Linked DNA regions of Oryzias latipes. Each later gene encodes a partner of the first gene's protein in a complex. Links are inferred from orthologs where the notes say so. Each region holds a gene or a part of one and is shown in the gene's direction. Other genes may lie near its edges. The genes, in order: stub1, hspb8, bag3 and chic2.

Evidence for each region.
Region 2: stub1 (region 1) and hspb8 share a complex: the UniProt entries of both Homo sapiens proteins name them as parts of the chaperone-assisted selective autophagy (CASA) complex. The link is inferred for Oryzias latipes from reciprocal best matches to the Homo sapiens genes STUB1 and HSPB8.
Region 3: stub1 (region 1) and bag3 share a complex: the UniProt entries of both Homo sapiens proteins name them as parts of the chaperone-assisted selective autophagy (CASA) complex. The link is inferred for Oryzias latipes from reciprocal best matches to the Homo sapiens genes STUB1 and BAG3.
Region 4: the proteins of stub1 (region 1) and chic2 are in contact, whole or in part, in a crystal structure (PDB 8SUV), measured with the Homo sapiens proteins. The link is inferred for Oryzias latipes from reciprocal best matches to the Homo sapiens genes STUB1 and CHIC2. Residues at the interface, in NP_005852.2 of Homo sapiens: Lys30, Asn34, Phe37, Tyr49, Val61, Asn65, Leu68, Leu71, Val94, Lys95, Phe98, Phe99, Gln102, Arg128, Asn130, Phe131, Gly132, Asp134, Ile135; in NP_036242.1 of Homo sapiens: Leu156, Pro157, Lys158, Thr159, Pro160, Ile161, Phe162, Arg163, Pro164, Asp165.

Annotation. Positions count from the first base shown.
Region 1 is NC_019877.2:8,954,185-8,959,355, reverse strand, and holds the start of stub1 (E3 ubiquitin-protein ligase CHIP), read left to right. Parts: upstream 1-1,994; 5' UTR 1,995-2,265; intron 2,266-2,817; 5' UTR 2,818-2,934; coding exon 2,935-3,048; intron 3,049-3,141; coding exon 3,142-3,340; intron 3,341-5,088; coding exon 5,089-5,171. UniProt on the Homo sapiens protein: E3 ubiquitin-protein ligase which targets misfolded chaperone substrates towards proteasomal degradation.
Region 2 is NC_019867.2:3,770,070-3,775,129, forward strand, and holds the start of hspb8 (heat shock protein beta-8), read left to right. Parts: upstream 1-1,904; 5' UTR 1,905-2,081; coding exon 2,082-2,508; intron 2,509-5,060. UniProt on the Homo sapiens protein: Involved in the chaperone-assisted selective autophagy (CASA), a crucial process for protein quality control, particularly in mechanical strained cells and tissues such as muscle. Displays temperature-dependent chaperone activity.
Region 3 is NC_019873.2:29,858,218-29,863,452, forward strand, and holds the start of bag3 (BAG family molecular chaperone regulator 3), read left to right. Parts: upstream 1-2,120; 5' UTR 2,121-2,197; coding exon 2,198-2,368; intron 2,369-3,627; coding exon 3,628-3,960; intron 3,961-4,224; coding exon 4,225-4,542; intron 4,543-4,622; coding exon 4,623-5,201; 3' UTR 5,202-5,235. Other genes in the region: tial1 (nucleolysin TIAR), read right to left, coding at 279-307. UniProt on the Homo sapiens protein: Co-chaperone and adapter protein that connects different classes of molecular chaperones including heat shock proteins 70 (HSP70s), e.g. HSPA1A/HSP70 or HSPA8/HSC70, and small heat shock proteins (sHSPs), e.g. HSPB8.
Region 4 is NC_019859.2:11,115,800-11,121,020, forward strand, and holds the start of chic2 (cysteine-rich hydrophobic domain-containing protein 2), read left to right. Parts: upstream 1-1,792; 5' UTR 1,793-1,984; coding exon 1,985-2,115; intron 2,116-4,257; coding exon 4,258-4,312; intron 4,313-4,428; coding exon 4,429-4,584; intron 4,585-5,221.

The DNA of each region.
Region 1 (5,171 bases):
GTCTTTTTGGAAAACATGACATTTTAAAACCACAACTCTAAATTTTTTTCAAAGTGCTTTAATATAAAAAAAAACTTACTATAAATATACAAATGCTGTTCCTTGTAACTGTTTTTTATTTTATTTTAAAGGTATTTTTTTTTATTATGGCCCCATTTTGACCAACTGGTTTAAAGCTTATCTAGATAGGTGGGTGTTGTGGGGGTTTAAGTAGACCATACTGGGATGGGTAAACACAGCTGGGGACACCCATCTCTGGAGGGCTGCAGCTTAACAGAACCCTCCTTTACACATTTATTGGTATGTTTGCTCAGAGGATGTGTTGTAATCTCCAGCCATTGATCTCTGTGCTGAAGCCTTACAAAGGCGCAACTGGCTGGTTTGAAAATGACCTTTTCCACAGTCAAGGTCTCACTAATTCCTCCACTGTCAAACATGACGGACTGCAAAGACCAAAATGTTATCTGCAGTTTCTTTGTGAGTTGGATGTCTCAAGAAAACTGATTCATAAAAAATGTTTTTAATATTATAACCGTTGCTGAAAAATCCCTTTGATGATTTAAAAATGTTTACATTTGTCAACTGAATCCAGAATAAGTATAAATGTATCATCAAATTTATTTTGGCACACATCTTTATTTGGCACATATCTTTATTAGAGTCACTACATAACACAGTGATGCAATGGTAATTCATAATATTGTACTAAACTACTTAATAACAGATTACATTAAAGATTTGACTCACATTTAAAAAAACGAGTAGCCCGATGATGCCATCTTCTGGCCAATACACTAGATTTCCTGTGCTGATCTTTTACAAGTGCAATGAGAAACCACCCAGTTGTCTTTTTCTGTATCTTGGTGTGTAAAATTGGTAGTTCAACTGCAAAAAATGCAAATATTTCTGATCATATTTTTTAAAATAACTCCTCTTTACACATTTCAGATTTGTATAAACGTCTCAAACAACCTCAGGTAAACCCATCTTTCCATTTCTTGCTCTCATATTTTTGCTTATTCAGATTTAAATGAGTGATTGTAAAGATGCATAAAAATAACAGGAAATATTTAGGTGTGGCTTCATTTCATTTTCAAACCATATTTGAGAAAAAAATACTTTTCTGAATGTTAAAAAATATATACGTTTTTTTTTTTCAATTACATTTTTATGCTTACAGCAGCATAAAAGCATAAAAAACGCAGTCTGCCCTGGACAGACTGGCGACCTGTCCAGGGCATCCCCTGCCTACGCCAAAGTAGCCGAGATAGGCTCCGGCAGCCCCGTGACCCCGAAAGGGACAAAGCGATACAGAAAAAAAATGAATTTTTATGCTTCTCTTAACATAAGCAAAGTCTCATGTTAAAATTTGGCATCAAGCTAATATAAAAAGTGAAAAATGAGTAAAGACATAAAAAGCACCAAATCAAATAGAACAGATTTATCATCTTCAATGCTTTTGGATTAGTGCAATAACAGAAGTTTAAGGAAGACAAAATAATAATAATAAATTATTTCCATTAATATCAATTATTTTACTAATAATTTCGAATCAGATATAAACAAACACTTTTATTTGATAGGGTGTTGTTATAGTATTTTGTCTAACGTAATGTAAGGTCAGTACCTATTTTCTATACAACTAACCATCACTCAGAGATAAGGTGTGGTTACTTGTATCAGTAGTCAGCTATGTTAGTTCTAACCACTAGCACTGATACCAGGGTCTTCTCACATATAGAAGGCCCCTGTTTCACGTTGTTTGCATGCTCTTCTCACAGCTCCAATGACCCTCTATGATTAATTTAGGATTAAAGATAAAGGGCTGGCATTCTATAAAGCCAAATTATGAGAGCAGTCCCAATACAGATGAGGGTTTGTTCCCACAGTACTTTTACAGAAATGAGCACAGAAACTTTACATTGTTATGATACTTGAAGATAACCTCTGCGCAAACTCCCATCAGGATTCGTGTGCTCTCGGCTTCCGTTGTTAGAGCGTAAAGCGTTTGACGTCAGCACCACAACATTCCGTCTTGACAGTTCGTACGGGTGGTAAAAATAATCCGTAACGATTTTATATCAAACTAAATTAAATCTGTTTGAGCTGAATGTAAAATTTCTGATTAAAGGTAAGGGTGGGTACTATGTAAAACTTTATTTAAGCCTCCAACAAACTGAAACGGACGTGAAGCAACTGTAATGCAAAAAGGCTAAGCTAGCACTAGCTAGTTTATGTTTTTTGAAGAAACCGAGCTGCGTTGTGGTAAATATTGAAATCCTTGAACAAGTAGTTATGGTTTTACTATCCTCTGCTTCAATTCACCAGAATCTACCCTAAATTAAATGTCAATAAAATTGATTAGAGACACAAAAGCTGTACTATGTCCCCAAACAAAATAATTTCAAGATAAAAGCTTAGCTAATTTTAGCATAGCATCGATTCTCCTCCTCTGTTTGTTTGTAAGTTAGCAATCTTATTTTTGTGTTTCTTGTCGTGTAACAATAATATACAATTTTTCGTTAACTTAAATATATTATCTTGTATCTGGTGTTTTTACTCGAAACCTGAGTGGATGTGTAAATTAATGGTTCTGGATTTTTTTTAAATAGCTGTGCTCGCTGATGGCCATCGATTTCCGAATGTGAATAGTTAATTCGCCGGCAGTCTAGCTGTGATTTTCAGCGGCGTGCACTGTCAGCAAACCCGAATGAATGCATTCTGAGCGGCACCAAGCAGCAGCGTTGCGCCGAGAGATCGTTGAAGAAGCAGCGCATTGCAGGTGCATCGCTAACTCAGCACGCGCCTGTGTTTTAGTGTGTGAGATCCAAGCCGGACGGGACGTTCTGAAAACCTGTTGTCTAGCCAGCCGAAGAGACGGGGAACAGGATAGGGAAACAGGGCGAAGCGGGCCCCGCGGAGCCGGTGGAGAAGATGGCCGGCAGCCCGGAGAAGAGTTCCACCGCGCAGGAGTTCAAGGAGCAGGGGAACCGGCTTTTCCTCTGCCGCAAGTACCAGGATGCTGCCTCTTGCTATAGTAAAGCTATTGTAAGCGTCTGGGATTTCTCATCCAAACACTAATGGCGAAGACTAAACAGTTTGCGCGTAAATACTCTTTATTTTCCCCATTGTGTCTTCCAGAACCGCAATCCATCAGTGGCAGTATACTACACCAACAGGGCCCTCTGCCACGTGAAGCTGCAGCAGTATGACAAGGCTCTGACAGATTGTAAGCATGCACTGGAGCTGGATAGTCAGTCTGTTAAAGCCCACTTCTTCCTGGGCCAGTGTCACCTGGAGCTGGAGAACTACGATGAGGCAATCGGCAATTTGCAAAAAGGTCAGAAACTAGTTTGATTTTTCTCTCCTAGCCGTTCGTGTCGGGTTTTCTTAATCATAACACCAGAACAAAGGATCACAACCTTTAGGTGTTGAAGATGGATCAGTTCACTTGTGCTTTTATTGTGGGATTCTAACAAAAAAGAATTTTCTGTGGGGATGAGAAAATCAAACTTGCACATGTTCTTAAAGGCACCAGCAGTTACAAATCAATGCATTTACCTTAAAACCAGAGCATTTCATCAACTTTAGGTACATTAAGAAGAAAATGACAAAATAAAAAGTATCAAAAACTGTAACGGATTATTTTTGCAAAGGTTTCCTGAACCTTCAAATGTATCAGACAAATGTAAGTCCATATGCAATCATGGTAGTTAATCTGTCCAAGCATATTAACAGAAAATAGAGTGGAAAGAAAAAAGACTTTCAACAGAGAAAATCCATGCAAAATTCTGATTTATTTCACCATCATCAGAGTTAGACGTTTTTTTTTGTTTTTTGTTTTTTACCTGGGCTCATTAGAAAAGAACCAGACAGATGCTTAGTGGTCCAAAAGTAAAGGTTGTATTTCATTTGGAGACGCACAGACCCGATGTTGCCTGAAGGGTCTTGTGAAGCTTCCACAGTCAGGGATGATGTAGGTCCATGTTTTTTTGAAGTCTACACAAAGTTCTGTAGCACTTCATGCTGCCTTTTGGTGTTGAGCTCATTGGAGCTGCAGATTCAATTTTCCTGCAGGACATGGGGCCCGCCCACTCTGCCAAAAGAACCAAAAGCTGGTTCAATTAATAGTATTACTGTGGCTGATAGCACATTCCCCTGACCTGAACCCTATTATGAATCTATTGTCTCTTGTTTGGAGGAAGATGAGACACCAGACTCAATAATGCAGATAATGTGAAGGCAGCACATAGAAACCTCCATTACTTCTACATAGAGCCACACGCTTCATATCCTCAGTGCATTGATGCAGTGATTCACATAGAGGAGCCCTAACCAAGCTAAGTGATAGAAATGAAGGCATTTGAACATTTAGGTTGTAAACATCTTTTTCTATTATTTTGATGATAAAAGCTAATATTCTGACACATTCTATTATTTAGATTAATTATCTTCAACGTTACAATAAATCAATGCTCGACATATTTCAATCAATTATATGCCGTTTACCATTTAATTTGTGTGTATAAATGTATGTTTGTGTGTGTGTGTGTGTGTGCGTGCGTGCTTGGGTTTTGATCATATTGTGATTTATTTGTCTTGCTGCAGTTTTGGGTTTGGATTCAGCACAGATAACTTTTGTAGTGATTAAGAGCAGAATTACATGTTTATTGTCTCACTACGCTGTTACACACGCCTGCAAACATACAATTCTTACATTGGTCTTGTTTGTCTCTGTGCCGTGTCAAGTGTTAAAAAATGGGCAGATGATCTCTGTCTAAAGTGAATCCTATTGTTTGCTGTTTTGGTTAAGATCTGGATTTATATCTGTTCTAATGGAAACTTCACGTTGCTGTGAATTGGCTTTTTCACATCATTTAGAAGTGGAATATTGTGGAGGACATTTTTCCCTCTCAGAGGGTTTGCATCGCTGCAACATAGATTTTTAAATCTCTAGTTTGTTTTTTACTCCCTTTTTTTGTATATTTGATGTTTTCTGCAGCTTTTATTCAACAACGAAACACGGAAGGAAAAGATTTGGTCAGCAGTTCATTGACTTATTTGTCAACCTTCCCATTGTTTTTACAGCTTATAACTTGGCGAAAGAACAGAGGCTGAATTTTGGAGACGACATTCCCAGTGCTTTACGCATCGCCAAGAAAAAACGCTGG
Region 2 (5,060 bases), on another chromosome or scaffold:
ATCAGCATTTTTCAACCTTTTTTGAGCGAAAGTTTACTTTTTTTTACAGCTCAAAGTCACACTGAAGATCTAAAAATAAAATTACAAAATTGAACCTTCTGTTTGTGTTTTAAATAAGAATCAAACGGAAATAAATGATGTTTTATGATCTTTTAAACTTCTACCTGCATCCTTAGTGTGAAACCTGGCCCTGTGTGGATGAACACAGAGATGGTATCCTGGCAATGATAACTGTTTTTCAGACCAAACAGGTGAAATTGAAAAATGTCCACTGGCAGAGTCACCATCTCTTATGACGCCACGCTTGTTTTTGCAGCTTTTCACTGCTCCCCATCAACCATAAAAAGATTGTTTTTTTTTGTAGATCTGTGTTGTTTAAGTGTTTTTCCAGTTGTAGTTATAGCAGCACTTTCCTTCCTCCTAAAGTAGGTGGAGTCTCTGCACTTCACTGTGTGGCTTATTACGAAATGAAACAGCAAAACAAGTAAATGTCCTCACAGTGTGGATAAACTGCTATTCACATGCTATACAGCGACCTCTCGCTATATTGTGGCTCACCTTTGCGGACTCACTGTTTTGCACTTTTTACCAGTACAATATTTTAAGTGTGACCAAGCACAAAAACGGACGTAATCCTTGTGGCTAAGCACATCACTGCATTGCCCGCACATATTTTAAGTGCATCTGAGGCTAAATTTTGTGGTCGGTAGCAGGTATTTTAAGGGGTGATTGATAAAACACGCATGGATACCGAGTGGCACAGCATATATCTTAAGTACGGCTATATTAAACCACGTATTTTCAGTGTTTAAAATAAGTGTGGCCAAAAAAAAAGTTCAGCACTGGCCGCCCAACATGTATCTTAGAATTACGTGCCAATGGTCACTTTCTTTCTTTTTTTTTTTTAATACAGCACGCTGTGTTCTACGTCTGATTGGCCACAGACCATTGTCAATCACTTCTCACTTTTTTCCCTTCCTTTGCTTCTTCACCTCAGTCCTTTACAAAGTCCATCTGCATTCATATTGCAGTGAAAATGTTTGTGTTTGAGGAAACTGAGGTTTTTGTTTTCACTTGTTTGATGAGGTGACAGAAGACAAACTCTAGTCTTGACCAAACAGCTCATTGTCTAAATACTAAGTAACATGTTACAGGGCTGAACTTTCCTTTTTTTCTCTCTTTATCAAACATATTTAATATTAGCAAGAATACAGATTTGATAGAAAAAAGTTATTTTAGCAGAAAGAACAAAACCTTCAAACACATGAATTTTCTTATCATCTTTTAGTAGCTGATGTGGTTTAGGTGATTTATTTATTTAACAGTAATCAAGTCTGAAACTAAATTTACCTCTAAAAATATATAATAATCCTATGGAGTCATATTAAGTTTCCATTGACTATTTCACTGGTGATTTCCCCTTCATGCTGATGCATCTTTGGCTGCATGTCACTGAGCTGTTTAGTGTCTGATGCGTCATCCTGAAAGTCTTCATTCGGTCACTGCAGGTGGATTTTCTGCATCAGCAAATCTTCACGAAGAAGTTCAGGTGTCACTTCTTCAGTGTGACTTCAGACCTGCAGCAGCTCTGAGTTATCTTCTATTAAAACATGATGAGTCACGGGGGGAGGGTCCTCCCCCAGCTGCTGCGCCTCCACTAAAAGAAATATTTACATCTACCGGGAATGTTATCGTTATTTGGAGTACTTTCCCTCGTTGCGTTCACGCACGTAACGCTAGACGTTAGTTTTGATTAAATGAATGTTATGTAATTATGAATGTTATGTAATTGTGAAATTTTGAGGTTTGTTTTTTTGTTCTGGGTTTATATTTTTTACAGCGTAGGGCCTTTCGAGGGCCTCCCAGCACTTTCCTGCCCCGTGAAGCCCCCAGCTGGGTATTTAACCCGCGCTCCGTGTCGATGTTGTTTAGCGGATAGGCTTTTGCGCGTAACGGGCGGTACGCGCGCTCCAGATCAGATAAGGTTTATCCCCCTCCCGAAGAAGTACTATTTTTCAATAAGGAGAAAGTTCTTAACCAATCCATTTCCAAAAAGTTTCTGAGTTTGTGCTGAAGTGGAGATGGCAGAGGGAGACTTTTACACCATGGGAAACCGGCAGCGCTTCCCCAGAGATCCGTTTGAGTCTCCGTTCAGGGATCAGTCTCCCTTCAGAGATCAACTGGCGTCCCGTTTTATGGACGATGACTTTGGGATGCCTCCTTTCCCCGAGGATCTGGGCATGGACTGGCCCGGGTGGGCTCGGCCGGGCAGGTTAAGCTCGCGCCTCGGCGCCTCGCCGTTTGGCACCGGTTTACGCACAGGCTTCCCCGCGCGTCAGTCGACGGGGGGCCCCGCGGTTTACACCAGCAGCCGGTACGGAGAGCCCCAGTCCCGGGGCTCCCCCACCAGCTGCGGCGGGGAGCCGTGGAAAGTGTGCGTGAACGTGCACAGCTTTAAAGCAGAGGAGCTAAACGTGAAGACCAGGGACGGGTTCGTGGAGGTGTCAGGTGAGCTTTCAGCCTGAATCAGAGGGCAAAACTTTGAGGGTCCATTCTGTGACCCTGACCTTTGAGTGTTAATGTCTCATAACTTTCAATATGTTAATGATTAATGATCTGGGGCCAAAGTGCGCAAACCTGCTGCATCTAATGTTAAAAAAAAGACACTCTGACTCTGTTTGCAAACTAACGTGCAAAACATTAACAACTAAAATCATTGACATGAAGTGTAAAAGTAGGCCACGTCTATCACTTTTAAGACACTGGAGCCCCCATCTTTGTTTCCAGGATGTTCAGGCTAAAAATAAAACAACACTCTTAATTTCTTCTCCAGCTTTTTCTGAATGTTTACGTAATTATAAGATAAAAAGCACTAAACTAAACATGTTTTTACTGAGAAACCAAAGCAGCCTGCTCTGTCTGGAAAATCTTCTGAATCTTCAGTTCAGGACAGATTTTGAAGACTGTCTGGAACTTAAGTTGTGAAGCCGATACTTAGGCTTGGACACCTGTTTTTGAATTCTTGGAAAATCGCTCCCTTAGCTGCTCATGAGCTCGATTTAGATTTAGGCTGGAGCAAGAATGTTCTGGAAGGGGCTGGAGCTTCTTCCGAGTGTAATGGTGCAGGATGCAGACTATAGCTGGATGAAGATGTGGAAACGCTTCCTCTTCTCCAGGCTCTTAGGGTCAAATTATTCCAAGGCTTCCCTGAGCTGAAGAGGGCAAGGAGGTCGGAGAACCTCCTCCTCTCACTCAGCTCTGGGTTTTTTATAAACACGTCAGTGGGATGCCAGCTGGGGTTGGCGCCATTTTGGTCCTTCCTGCCACAGTGGTTCAAGTGGTTCTAAAAGTGTGGCAGGGAATGCATTCAACCTAATTAAAGGTGTCCAACAGCTGAGTGAACAAATGTTGAACACTCGAGTTTTACACAGAAGCACAGAAGACAAAGCATTAAGGAGAAGAGAAACACAAGACCAATCAAAACTGTGGAAATTAGATCAACTCTGACACTTTTACTTTTGTTTTGCTCAAAGAAAATCAATTGGAAGCTTTGAGGCTTCAGTCTAATAAGGGAGAAGGACACTTAGTGGCATACAGATGTCATTACATTCCCTGAAGTGTGCAAATGAAGCATGAGAATTTTTTGGAATTGTTATTATTTTCTGAGTTTATAATAGATTCTCATTACATAACTATGAACCAACAGAAATTATATACAAAGTTGCTAGAAGTTTTTAGTTTTACAAAACTAGACAGTACTGTTTCTAAAACTCCTCCAGACAAACTGATGCCATTTGGATTAAAAAATAAAACATGTTGGTTTTTTGTTTATTTTACTTTTAACAAAAAAAGAAAAGCTAAGCATAAATGCAATAATAGACCAACTGCAAAACATGATCCATTTGACCAGCTTGATGGAAACGACTGAAACGAACTGCTGGAATGTTAAGATAACCTGAGAGATCAACAAAACCTCTCACTGAGAGGATAGCACGGCCCGTGGAACGTATTTCAAAGTAAAAGCATTTATACTCACAAAGCCTCTTTCTTTATTCAATTTGCTTTTTTAAAAACTGTTTTTAAGTGTTCAGTCTTAGACAAGATGAAGCTCAACTGTTGGAAGCAAATGTGAGCATTTTGGAAATGCATTTTTTAACTGTAAAAAGTATTTGATTTCTTCTTTTAATGTAGCTGCACATCTCAATTGATTAAAAAACATGATTACCATTTCAGAAATAACCAAATTAAAACAAATATTGTTTCTTTTGTCTGTGGGGAAATGATGTCCCACTCCATTTCAATTGAGACACATTTGAGTGGTACAGCGTGAGCTGCTGCAGGGTAAACATGGTTTATGTGGCTCAAAAAGGATGACAGCTGCTGATTTGAAAAGTTTGGTTGGCAACAGCTTCTAGAAGACTGTTAAGGTCTCTGCAATGGAGAAGCATATTGATCCAAAAGTGCAGGAAATTGCAGAGCTTATCTGCTTAACAACTTGGGCCTTTGAAAACAAACTTAAGGAAACTTTGATCAAGGGTTAGCTTTTATTTCATGAATAAACGTCTGGCTGGATTGTAGCTTGTCAATAACCTTTTAAGAGACTTGACACAGTCTGTGCTGCTCTGAGTTGAGATGTGCTAAGAACAAAAAAAAATGAAGATGCTTTCGTTTTGCATCTTTAGATCTGCTTGTTCATGTAAGCAATAAGCCAGGAGCTGCGTTGTACGGCCTGCAGGCACTATGCACCCCCCCCACCCACAGCCTCCTCCTGACTCACCCTGACCGGCCGAAATTCTGCCACCCAACCCCTCACTACCACCCTTCTGCCTTCAGAACTGCGAAAATAAATTCCTAAAAACAAAAAAACTTTTTTTCAAAATGGGAGCTTTTTATTGGTTTAATCTCCATAGCAACCACTTTATTTTTTTGGTCACCTGGAGGTGATAAACAGTTCCATGTTATTTTTAGAAGAATTGGCAAAAGTAAAATTTGGGATTTCCTTTGCAACAGAGATTTTTTGTCAATCACGCTCACGTTCCTGATATGTTTGTATTGTATGT
Region 3 (5,235 bases), on another chromosome or scaffold:
TTAAAAGTAACATCTTTCTATGTTATTCTGCATTTGTTTAGAGTAAGGTTATGTAGATCCCGTTACACATACTTTCCATGAACTAGTAGAAAATATAAATATATATATATATATCCTCGTAAACTAAGTCTAGTCTTATTTCGTTCCAAGCTTTGCGGTTACATTACCGCCACATATAGGAAAGCTAGAACACACCGGGTTAACATTGACAAGCTAAGCTAGCCGATATTTCCAGATGTTAGCAAACACTATGACACAACCGGGGGAGGGGGGCTTACAGAGTTCTGGGGTGGCTTTCGTCGTCCATGATCGATGCTGAAAGTCACGTGGTCCTAAAACGTTAGCTGCTTAATACCTAGCTGTCATTTAGCGACACTAGTGTCAAATACAAAGCAGCTAGTTACCCAGCTCCTCAGATGCTAACTGACGGGAACAGAGCGTACGTCAGACCATGAGTGTTTCTCTTGCGCATGCGTAACAGCCTGTCCTACGGAAAAGGTGAAGTAGCCTAAATTTAAACCTTTATAACCTTTATAAGAAAATGCAACGTTTGAAAAACGAAGGTTAGATTTTCTGTATCAATCATCTATTTCAGGGTGACGCTATTAAACGGCAATAGAGAAAAGTCTTTTTTTCCCCTGACGTTACGTCATTTCCTTAGATTTTAAGCGGAAGTAAGGGTTCGCTTGTTTTAAGGACCCTCCTGAGACGATGCCCGTTTGTGTCAGCTATAACTGGAACAGAGGGGATTTCTGGAAGCTCGGGTCAGGTGTCAGCGCGTGTGAACTTGTTTTTAAACACCTTTCATGTTTTAATGTTCAGCTATCGAGTTATTTTTATTCTTCTGTTTAAACTCTGCTGTAATGTCCGGACTTGATGCTGTGTGCTTTATAAAGTTAGGCTTTGTGTAGCCTGTAGAGTTCTTTTTACAGATTTTTGACTAATCAGAATAATTTTATTGTCATTGTATATGGTGATACAATGTAATTGCAGCAGCCTTGGAGTGATGAAGATAAATAAAATATGTATTTAGTGTAAAATTTAAATGTAAAGAAAAAAAATTAATTCACACGACACTAATGTGATTATCCTTATAACAACAGTATAGTAAAGGGAGAATGGATTATTTTACAATAACTCTAACCCATAAACAGTTTATCCCAGTATATATGGTGAGTCATAAACAGTCTCTGACATGACCTTATAGAGTCACAGAAAGCTTAGCCTTATCTTTATAAAGGACATTATTATTATTATTATTAAGAGTTTAACTATTAATCTAGTTAATTAATAGTTAATTAATATTAATTAATTTCTATTTGTACAATCGAGTGGACCTATACCATTATAAACTCGTGTCAAAATCAATTAAATCAATATTAGAAAATTCCATCTGGATTGAGGTAAAATTAATGGTCACACTCCTAATTATTTATTAATTTTTTCAACATGAATAATTTACTCTCCTGTTTTGCAGCATTTGACATAATTTAAACTATTTATAAATAACAATGGTTTCAAATATCAGTTTGATAATCAAACAGCTGTTTGCTGCACATATTTAGAATGACTACTTTGTATGTTTTTAAATCTTTTAAAGTTGTTTTAAAGTTTAGATCCTTCATATATGTTTAACATAATCATTAGATAGTATCCACTAGAATTTAGATTCCAAAAAGCGGCTTTAATATGAAATATTGATGAAAGCAAATGTTTGTCTGGACTGGAAAACAGAGTAATGTTATAAGCAGCTGTCTCTTTGTGGGGGGGTTGTGTTTGAACCTTTTGATTTTTCATTTTGTTTGTAGATTTTTACTCATTTTTAATGATAAAATAGAATTGGACTAGTTTATTTAGTGACCAAATCTCATTGAACATGTGTTCCTCGCCGGAGGCACGCATGTGTTTTTGAACATGTTTAGCCCCCCCCCCCCGTCTGGGCTCTGATGGAGTCGTCTCCGCTGCTCTCCGGTCCGTCGTCACGTTTCAGGTGGAGCTGCTCTCGGTAAACCCTCGTGGGGGTCTCCGGCTTGGATCTGCAGCTCCGCCCCCCCCCCCCCCCCCGCCCCCCTTGCCGCCCCCACAGTTAACCCTGCTATTTCCAGAAGCTTCCAGCCCACTTCCCCACGTCACTCCACGGAGTCTTTAAAGCGCCCGCCGCCCGTATAAAATGTCTTAGTACCGGAGCGCGAGCAGCATGAGCGCCGTGCAGACACGCGCCCCCGCGCCGACCATGGCTAACAACGACAGCGACCCCCTGCCCCTCGGCTGGGAGGTCAAAATCGACCCCCAGACCGGATGGCCGTTTTTCGTGGATCACAACAACCGAACCACAACCTGGAATGACCCGAGACACGTCGCGACAAAGGTGAAGGAGCGCGCGGGCAAAGTTGCTTCCCCGGCGGGAAGCGCTCGCGGGGAATCTGCGTTGGTTGTTTCTGCGGAACATTGTATTGTCGGTGGTAACGGCTGATCGGTCCCGCCATGTCCTCGTGTCATCATAACTATTATTACGCGATGAGTCACCCTGCAGTATGTGGCGGCCGGGACGGGGGGGCCGTTTTCACATTAAGGTCATTTTCCCAGCAGGGACCGCGGCTGGGCTGCTGTGTGTGGCGGGGGCTGCTGGGCGGGCGGTCCCGGGCAGAGGGCAAAGGGTCGTTCCGGAGGAGACACCGACGGGGTACCGATTGTTGACCGTTTTCCTCCAGGTTTTGGTCTCCTTTGGTTGGGGAGGGGGGGGGGGCATCAGACCTGTTGCTCTCTGCTCCTTCACTTCTTCCTGACATCTCGTGCTTTTATTTTTAAATTCTCTTCCTGTCTGATCGGTTTTCATGGAGGAAAATAGTTCACAGCGGTGACCTGTTCCATAAAGAACATTCAAAAAGACAAACAGTTGGTCTCCTTCAGATTAAAAGTGCTGTCCTGTGTGATGTTGGCGTGTTGGGGGTCAGAGGGGGGGGGCGCTGGGCACAGGGACACATCTTCAGGAGGCAAACTAGCAGCTGCCGGGCTGGAATGCAGAGGTTGTTCTGGCAGGGCAGCGTCACTTTTGGCTGCTGGGTGAGGAAATGTGACCCGGGACGGAGAAGGCGGAACGTGGATCTGGAGAAAGCGGAACGTGGATCTGGAGAAGGCGGAACGTGGATCTGGAGAAAGCGGAACGTGGATCTGGAGAAAGCGGAACGTGGATCTGGAGAAGGCAGAACGTGGATCTGTGGAGGATTTCCACCTGCGGCCGGACGGTCGCGAACACAGACGTCTGCACAGACGCTCACCTGACGTCAACGGCCCAAAGCACCGTTATATTTGGAAAACACACCTGGAAAACATGGAGGCAGCATGAGACGGGGGCTTTGTGAGCAGCTGTGGTGCAGAGGTAGAGCGGTTGACTCTGGATTAGGAGGTCTCGGGTTTGATTCTGGCCTTGCTCTGCCCCCATCAGAGTGTGTAAAGCACTTTAGGCTTTAGAAAAGCACTATAGAAGCACAAATACACAATTATACAAAATATCACTGATGAATCAGTGGTGGAAGTCTTAAAGTTTTTACCTGAGATTTGTGTGTGTTTTTTTAATGAATTTAAAGGTTTTTTGGTTCTAAATTCTTTCCCCTGCCTATATTTCAGAGTAGAGAAGCAAACGGACCCAACATACCTCCAGAACAACATCCTAAGGAGACCCAGAAGACCTTTACCCGAGAGATGAAGCACCCGATTCTGCGGCCCGGCTACATCCCCATCCCCGTCTTCCATGAGGGCGCAGAGCTGCGGCAGCAGCCGCCGCATCCCTGCTGTACGTACATCCAGCCAAGCACAGCGCAGAGTGTCCGGTACGAAGGTCAGGCTCCTTCGCACGCCTCCGGACTTCACGGCAGGCCCAGATCGCCGTTACACGTGGCCTCAGACAGCTGCTCCTCTGAGCCCGGGAGGGCCAGCACGCCCACGCCGCCAACCACAGAGGTACGGGTAACATTTGGGTTCTTCACTGACAGCCACCCTTGATTACAGTGGGAGTTTTCAAAATAACGCATTTCATACACGGAGGAGATTGATTGACAAGGTCAACAGCCAATCAGGATGCAGAACATAGCGAGCTGTGAAGTAAAATGGAAATTGGCTATAAAAAGGTGGCCGGCGATCTAGTGAGGGACCAGCATGAGCTGAAGCGGGTAACATTTGTGCGACCAAACGTGTTCACTGCGTTCTGACTGTGTTGCTGCTCAGGTGCACACCGCCACACACCACCAACCGTGTCGACCCGGCAGCACCGGCCTCCAGGCCGGTTACATTCCTATTCCAGTCATCCATGAGGGCGGAGGGGGTCCGCCTCAGGTAAACCCCGCCGTCTACTCTCAGCGCGCCCCCTACCAGCGCCTCCAGACAGACGAACGGCCCGCCTACTCTGCGGCGCCGTCTTCTCGGGAAAGTGCTTCCCCGACGTCGCTGTTCCCGCAGCACCGGGACGCAGCGTCTGCCCGCCTCCCACCTTCGCTTAGGAGCCAGTCCCCGACGGTATCGCAGCTGCAGGCGGACAGACCGCAGGTGGGCTTTCCGGTCTTTTCCTTTTGCCAGCGTGTCCCAGATTCTGACATAAAACTGTAACTTTGTTATTTGGATCTCAGCAGAACCTCCTCACTAGAGACCCGGCCCAGAAAGTGGAGCAGGAGCTGCAGAAAGCAGAGAACCTGCCGGTTCCTCAACCGCAGCTCACAGAGGTGGACGCTCCACATCTGGAGCAGCCTCAGTCCCAGGAGCCGCAGCATCACGTTGCAGACATCACGGTTCAAATCCCTCCAAAAGCAGAGGTTCAGGACCCAGCCGGCCCTGAAGCCCCCCCAACCAGAGCAGAGGGGGAGCAGGGCGCCGTTCACCCGGGCTTGGCGAAGGTTCAGCAGATCGTGGGACGGGTGGCTTCGCTGGAGCAGGAGGCCAAGGCTTTCAGCGGGAAGAAAAATGATAAGAAATACCTGCTGCTGGAGGAGCTGCTGACCAAAGAGCTGCTGGCTCTGGACTCTGTCGACCCGGAGGGACGCGCAGATGTGCGGCAGGCCCGGCGCGATGGAGTCCGGCGGGTTCAGACCATACTGGAGGAGCTGGAACAGCTGGAGGAGCGGCCAGCCAAGCCCACCAGTGAGACGCCGGCGGACGGTGACAGAGGAGAGTCCAAGGAACATTATGTGACGGCCAAGGAGATTTTCTGAGGAGCTCCCGTTCAGGAGCAGAGGATGCCGGCGG
Region 4 (5,221 bases), on another chromosome or scaffold:
CCATTTTTGCTTTGAGAATGTTGATGGAAAAGTACAGAGATGGTCAGAAGGAGCTGCATTGTGTGTTCGTAGATTTAGAGAAGGCGTATGACAGGGTGCCGAGGGAGGAGCTGTGGTACTGTATGAGGTCGTCTGGAGTGGCAGAGAAGTATGTCAGAGTAGTTCAGGACATGTATGAGAGAAGTATGACGGTGGTGAGATGTGCTGTAGGTCAGACAGAGGAGTTCAAGGTGGAGGTGGGACTACACCAAGGATCAGCTTTGAGTCCTTTTTTGTTTGCTATGCTGATGGACAGGCTGACAGACGAGGTAAGACAGGAATCTCCCTGGACGATGATGTTTGCGGATGACATTGTAATTTGCAGTGAGAGTAGAGAGCAGGTGGAGGAACAGCTACAGAGGTGGAGGTTTGCTCTGGAAAGAAGAGGCATGAAGGTCAGTCGTAGTAAGACAGAATACATGTGTCTGAACGAGAGGGATCAAGGTAGAAGCGTTAGGTTACAGGGGGCTGAGGTGAAAAAGGTGCAGGAGTTTAAGTACTTGGGGTCAACAGTTCAGTGTGATGGGGAGTGTGGAAAAGAGGTGAAGAGGCGAGTGCAGGCAGGTTGGAGCGGGTGGAGGAAAGTGTCAGGAGTGTTGTGTGACAGAAGAGTGTCAGCAAGACTCAAAGGAAAGGTGTACAAGACAGTGGTGAGACAAGCTCTGCTCTATGGGTTAGAGACGGTAGCAGTGAGACAGAGACAAGAGGCTGAGATGGAGGTAGCAGAGATGAAGATGTTGAGGTTCTCCTTAGGAGTGACCAGGTTAGACAGGATAAGGAACGAGTACATCAGAGGGACGGCTCATGTTGCCTGTGTTAGCGACAAAGTCAGAGAAGCCAGACTGAGATGGTTTGGACATGTTCAGAGGAGGGATAGTGGATATATTGGTAGAAGGATGTTGGAGATGGAGCTGCCTGGCAGGAGGGCAAGAGGACGGCCAAAGAGGAGATATATGGATGTCTTAACAGAGGACATGAAGTTGGCTAATGTTAGGGTAGAAGATGTCCATGATAGAGTGAGGTGGAAAAGGATGATTCGCTGTGGCGACCCCTGATGGGAAAAGCCGAAAGAGAAAGAAGAAAGACACAAAACGTATTATGTGAGTAACAAATCACGCACAAATCCAAATTTATGCACAAATCCTAATTTACAAACGCACAAAGCAAGAATATGCATACACAAATTCTAATTTACGCACAAATAAAGAATTACGCACACACAAATCTGAATTTACGCACAAATAAAGAATTACGCACGCACAAATCCGCCTGAGTCTAATTTCTCTCTATATTGGACGCAGAGTTAAAAATATTTCCTGAAAAGGCTGAGCCTGTTTTTTTTATGAACAATTACTGAAATCAATTTTTTATGCATATATTCTTGACGTTTTCGTGCTTAAACCAGTGCACAATTGAACTCCATTTTAAGTAAAATAAAAATGTGAAAAAAAGTTTATTTATTTATTTATTTATTTATTTATTTATTATTTTATCTATAGATTCTGGAGAAATACCTTTCTCCACAACATATACACTTGATGGTAATGTTAAAACGGTGAAAAGGCTAAAAAGATGATTTAGGTAAACGAAAATTCTCTCCATGGATTAAAAAAAGTGTAATTGTTTAATGGTACGACTTTTTACTAAATTTTAATCTGATTTTTTTTTTTCATATTAAAGATTAAAAAAAGAAAAGAAGAAAAAAAATCCAATCTAAAACAGATAAATCGACGTAAAGATTCGCCCGTCCCTCTTCCGGTGTCGTACGGTTACTGCGGCGGATGTTGATGTTTCGTTTCGGAGCTCGCGTAACGATGTGAACCACTCTCTGTTTTATGACTTTGCTTTCTGATCGCTCGTGTTTTTCCCCGGTTAGCTTTCACTGCTCGTCCCAGCCGTGTCTCTCCCGGTGTCTTTACCGGGAAGTGCGAGGCTGAGCCGTGCGATGATGGAGGACTTTGATGAGATATACGAAGAAGAGGAGGAAGAAGAGGACGAGGACAGGGCCGCAGAGGAACAGCTTCTCAAGTACGCTCCGGACCCGGTGGTGGTACGAGGATCTGGCCACGTCACTGTGTAAGAACCGGCCTAACTGTTGGTGGTCGTGAGGACATTTTTTTTCTTTATTGTTGTCGTGTGGCGATTTGTAGCCGCGGCTTTTATCTAGAAAAGTAAGTGCTAACTGTGTTAGCCGCTAGCTAATACAGCTAAATTGTTAAGCTAACATAATTAAGCGACTATTAGCCAAAATATGTCGATTTAGCTTCGAAAAAGTCCATTTGATAGTTTGTAAAACATTTTGAATTTATCACACAAAATAAGAATAGTTTATTTCAGGCACTGTCAAGTCAGTTGCTGAAAATTGTGAAACTTTAGAAAATACTTGTCATATGTTTGTGTTTACTTACTAGCTAGCAAAATGTACAACAATAACATTGAACATTTGATTAAAGAGAGAAGTCTTTTGCAATATGCAGTTTTTAATAAGGCCATGGCTAACAGAAAATCTAACATTTGTGTTTATATTCAGAACATAGTCCTAAACTGTTGAGTCAAAATACAACATTTCCTGTTGGATTGAAATATTTTTAGTCCTGTTACCAATTTAAACAACAAAAGGTTGCTAACTAGTAAGACATGCTCTGAAAAGTAAGACATTGGAAAAGCTTGCTGAATGGAAAGAACTAAAATATTAGCATTTAGGTTATATGTAAGTGATAATGGCAGACGAAGTGTGGATTATGTATGGGTCATTAGATTTATTGAAAAATGGCTTCCTATAGAGGACAGCTAAAATCATTTTTTAAAAGGAAATTTTAGGAACATTGTCAGATTAGGAAATCAAAGACATTGTTTATTTTTCTTCAGAAAACATCCGTTTTCCCATGAATATCTATATATTTTTAGACTTCTTGATTATATGCTTAACAACAAACATACTGCTGCATTGGCACACAAATGGAAAACAAAGTGTCTTGTGTAAATGACACTTCAGAAATAAGAAAACCACACAGTTTTGATGGTTTTAAAATGTGATCTAAATATATGTCATTAATAGATATAGTTATAATGGTTAGTCCCACTCAAATTATTTTTTATATATTCTAAAAGCGTTCCCAGTGGTCTTTTAGTAATGATTATGCCATTTTTAGACAACAACAAAAACCTTTGTTTTCTAGGACATTTTAGAAATTTGTCTCCGATCTGTGGGTGTGATTGTTGGCATGACCCAATTTCCCATCATCCCTTTGTCTACACTCTTGCATTCTAGCTTACAGTCCCTCACAATACCAACCTAACATTTCTGGTCCAACAAAATTGGCAAGCAATATTGAAGCTATCCAGCTGTATAGTTTAGAACCAGATACCAGCTCAGAAGAAGAAAACAAAGACTTGCATGGATCTAGTCGTCTGCAAGTGGATGCATCATGGAGTTAAGCAGGGAGCTTGTTAACGGCTAACTGTAGCTATAGGTCAAAGCTACAGGCTTTTTCAAATGGCATTTTTTCGTCTGCTCCTGATTCACAACAAATTGAATAAAGAAATACTCAGAAATGCAAATCTAATCTTAATTTTTTTTATATATGTCCTCCATCATGAATAAAGTGCCGCAAAAACATGTTAAAAAACACTAAAAACAGAACTTTCAGCAGAGAGGGGCTTTAATAAATAATAATGGTTATGATGAACGGTTATAAAGAATTAAGTGCAGAACCGGTACGACCGACCGACCCCAAATCTATGAATGTACATAATTATTATTATTGTTAAACTATTTCCACACCTTCTGAGCATTTCTTCTGGAGTGTGTAAATAATTGTACCAGAATGTGACAACCACCGTTTACAGGCATTAGTAGCAGTGTGAGAGCTGTTGTGTTAGTAGTAGTGTGTGTTTGTTGTATGGGTGTCTTAAGTAGTGCGTGTGGGATTTTCAATTTTATGTGAGAGTCTTTGTAGTAGGCGCTGCGTTTAAAACTGTAAACAACGGCTTAAATGGCTCTTTTTAATCCCTTACTGAAGTTAATATTTTAGAAAAGAGTTCACCGTTTCTCGGTTTGAAAGTTACACTTATCGGGTTTCGTTTGCCATTATTTTCTCACATTTATACTTTTGAGTCACAAAGGGGGGTAGTAAGCAATGGAAATTGAGTCCTGGGCATTTCTAGCCTTGGTCGCAGTGTGATTGATACATTTTGATTGTACTTTCTGTCTCACAGGTTTGGACTAAGTAACAAATTTGAGTCCGAATTTCCCTCAGCGCTAACAGGAAAGGTGAGTCATCAATTTTGCGTCATATTTTTGCTCTAATTTCCTTTTAAACTTTGTTTAAATGGGACGGGAAGATGCTAACGTGGATGAGCTTGAATGTGAATTTTGACTCCCCATAGGTGGCACCAGAGGAATTCAAAGCCAGTATATATCGAGTAAACAGCTGTTTAAGGAAGACCCTCCCGGTGAACGTGCGGTGGCTGCTGTGTGGCTGCCTGTGCTGCTGCTGCACGCTGGGCTTCAGTTTGTGGCCCGTAATTTGCCTCAGCAAAAGGGTGAGGAAACCCACAGCCACACTCCTAATCTGTTTAGACCAGGAGTCTTTAACCCATTTGGTCCAGTTTCCTACTGACCAAAACACAGCAAGTCCCACTTCACCATTTAGAAAAATCCACTGTATTTATCATTCTGTCTCCATTTAGTCATTTATTATATATACTATAAAGCTTTTCCATATTTACACTTATTGAATTATAACACTGTCAAATGTTTCTGTTCGTGACATTTTTAATTCCTTTTACTTTTGACAACAGCACATGTAAGTCTCTTTCAAAATAAAATACACCCGTTGTTAAATACGCTCCTCCTGCTGCAGCAGATTAACTTGAATTAAAAATGCAAGAAAACCCAGTCAAACATGCCATTTTCTATCATGACGACTCAAGTGTGCCTTCATCATATTTCTCTTTTTACCCGTGAATACAAAAATTACAACATTAGTGTAGAATCCAATAAAGAAATCCATACTTATGAATGCAGAAGATCAGAATCCGTGCTTTAAGCTTATTCTGACTGTATATTCAACCTATAACCATCATTTTTTTCAGTTATCTGACATGTTAAAAGTCAAAATATGAAAAACTAGTCCCTGACTTCTGGGTCAGACCAAATCCTCACCAAACATGAAATAAA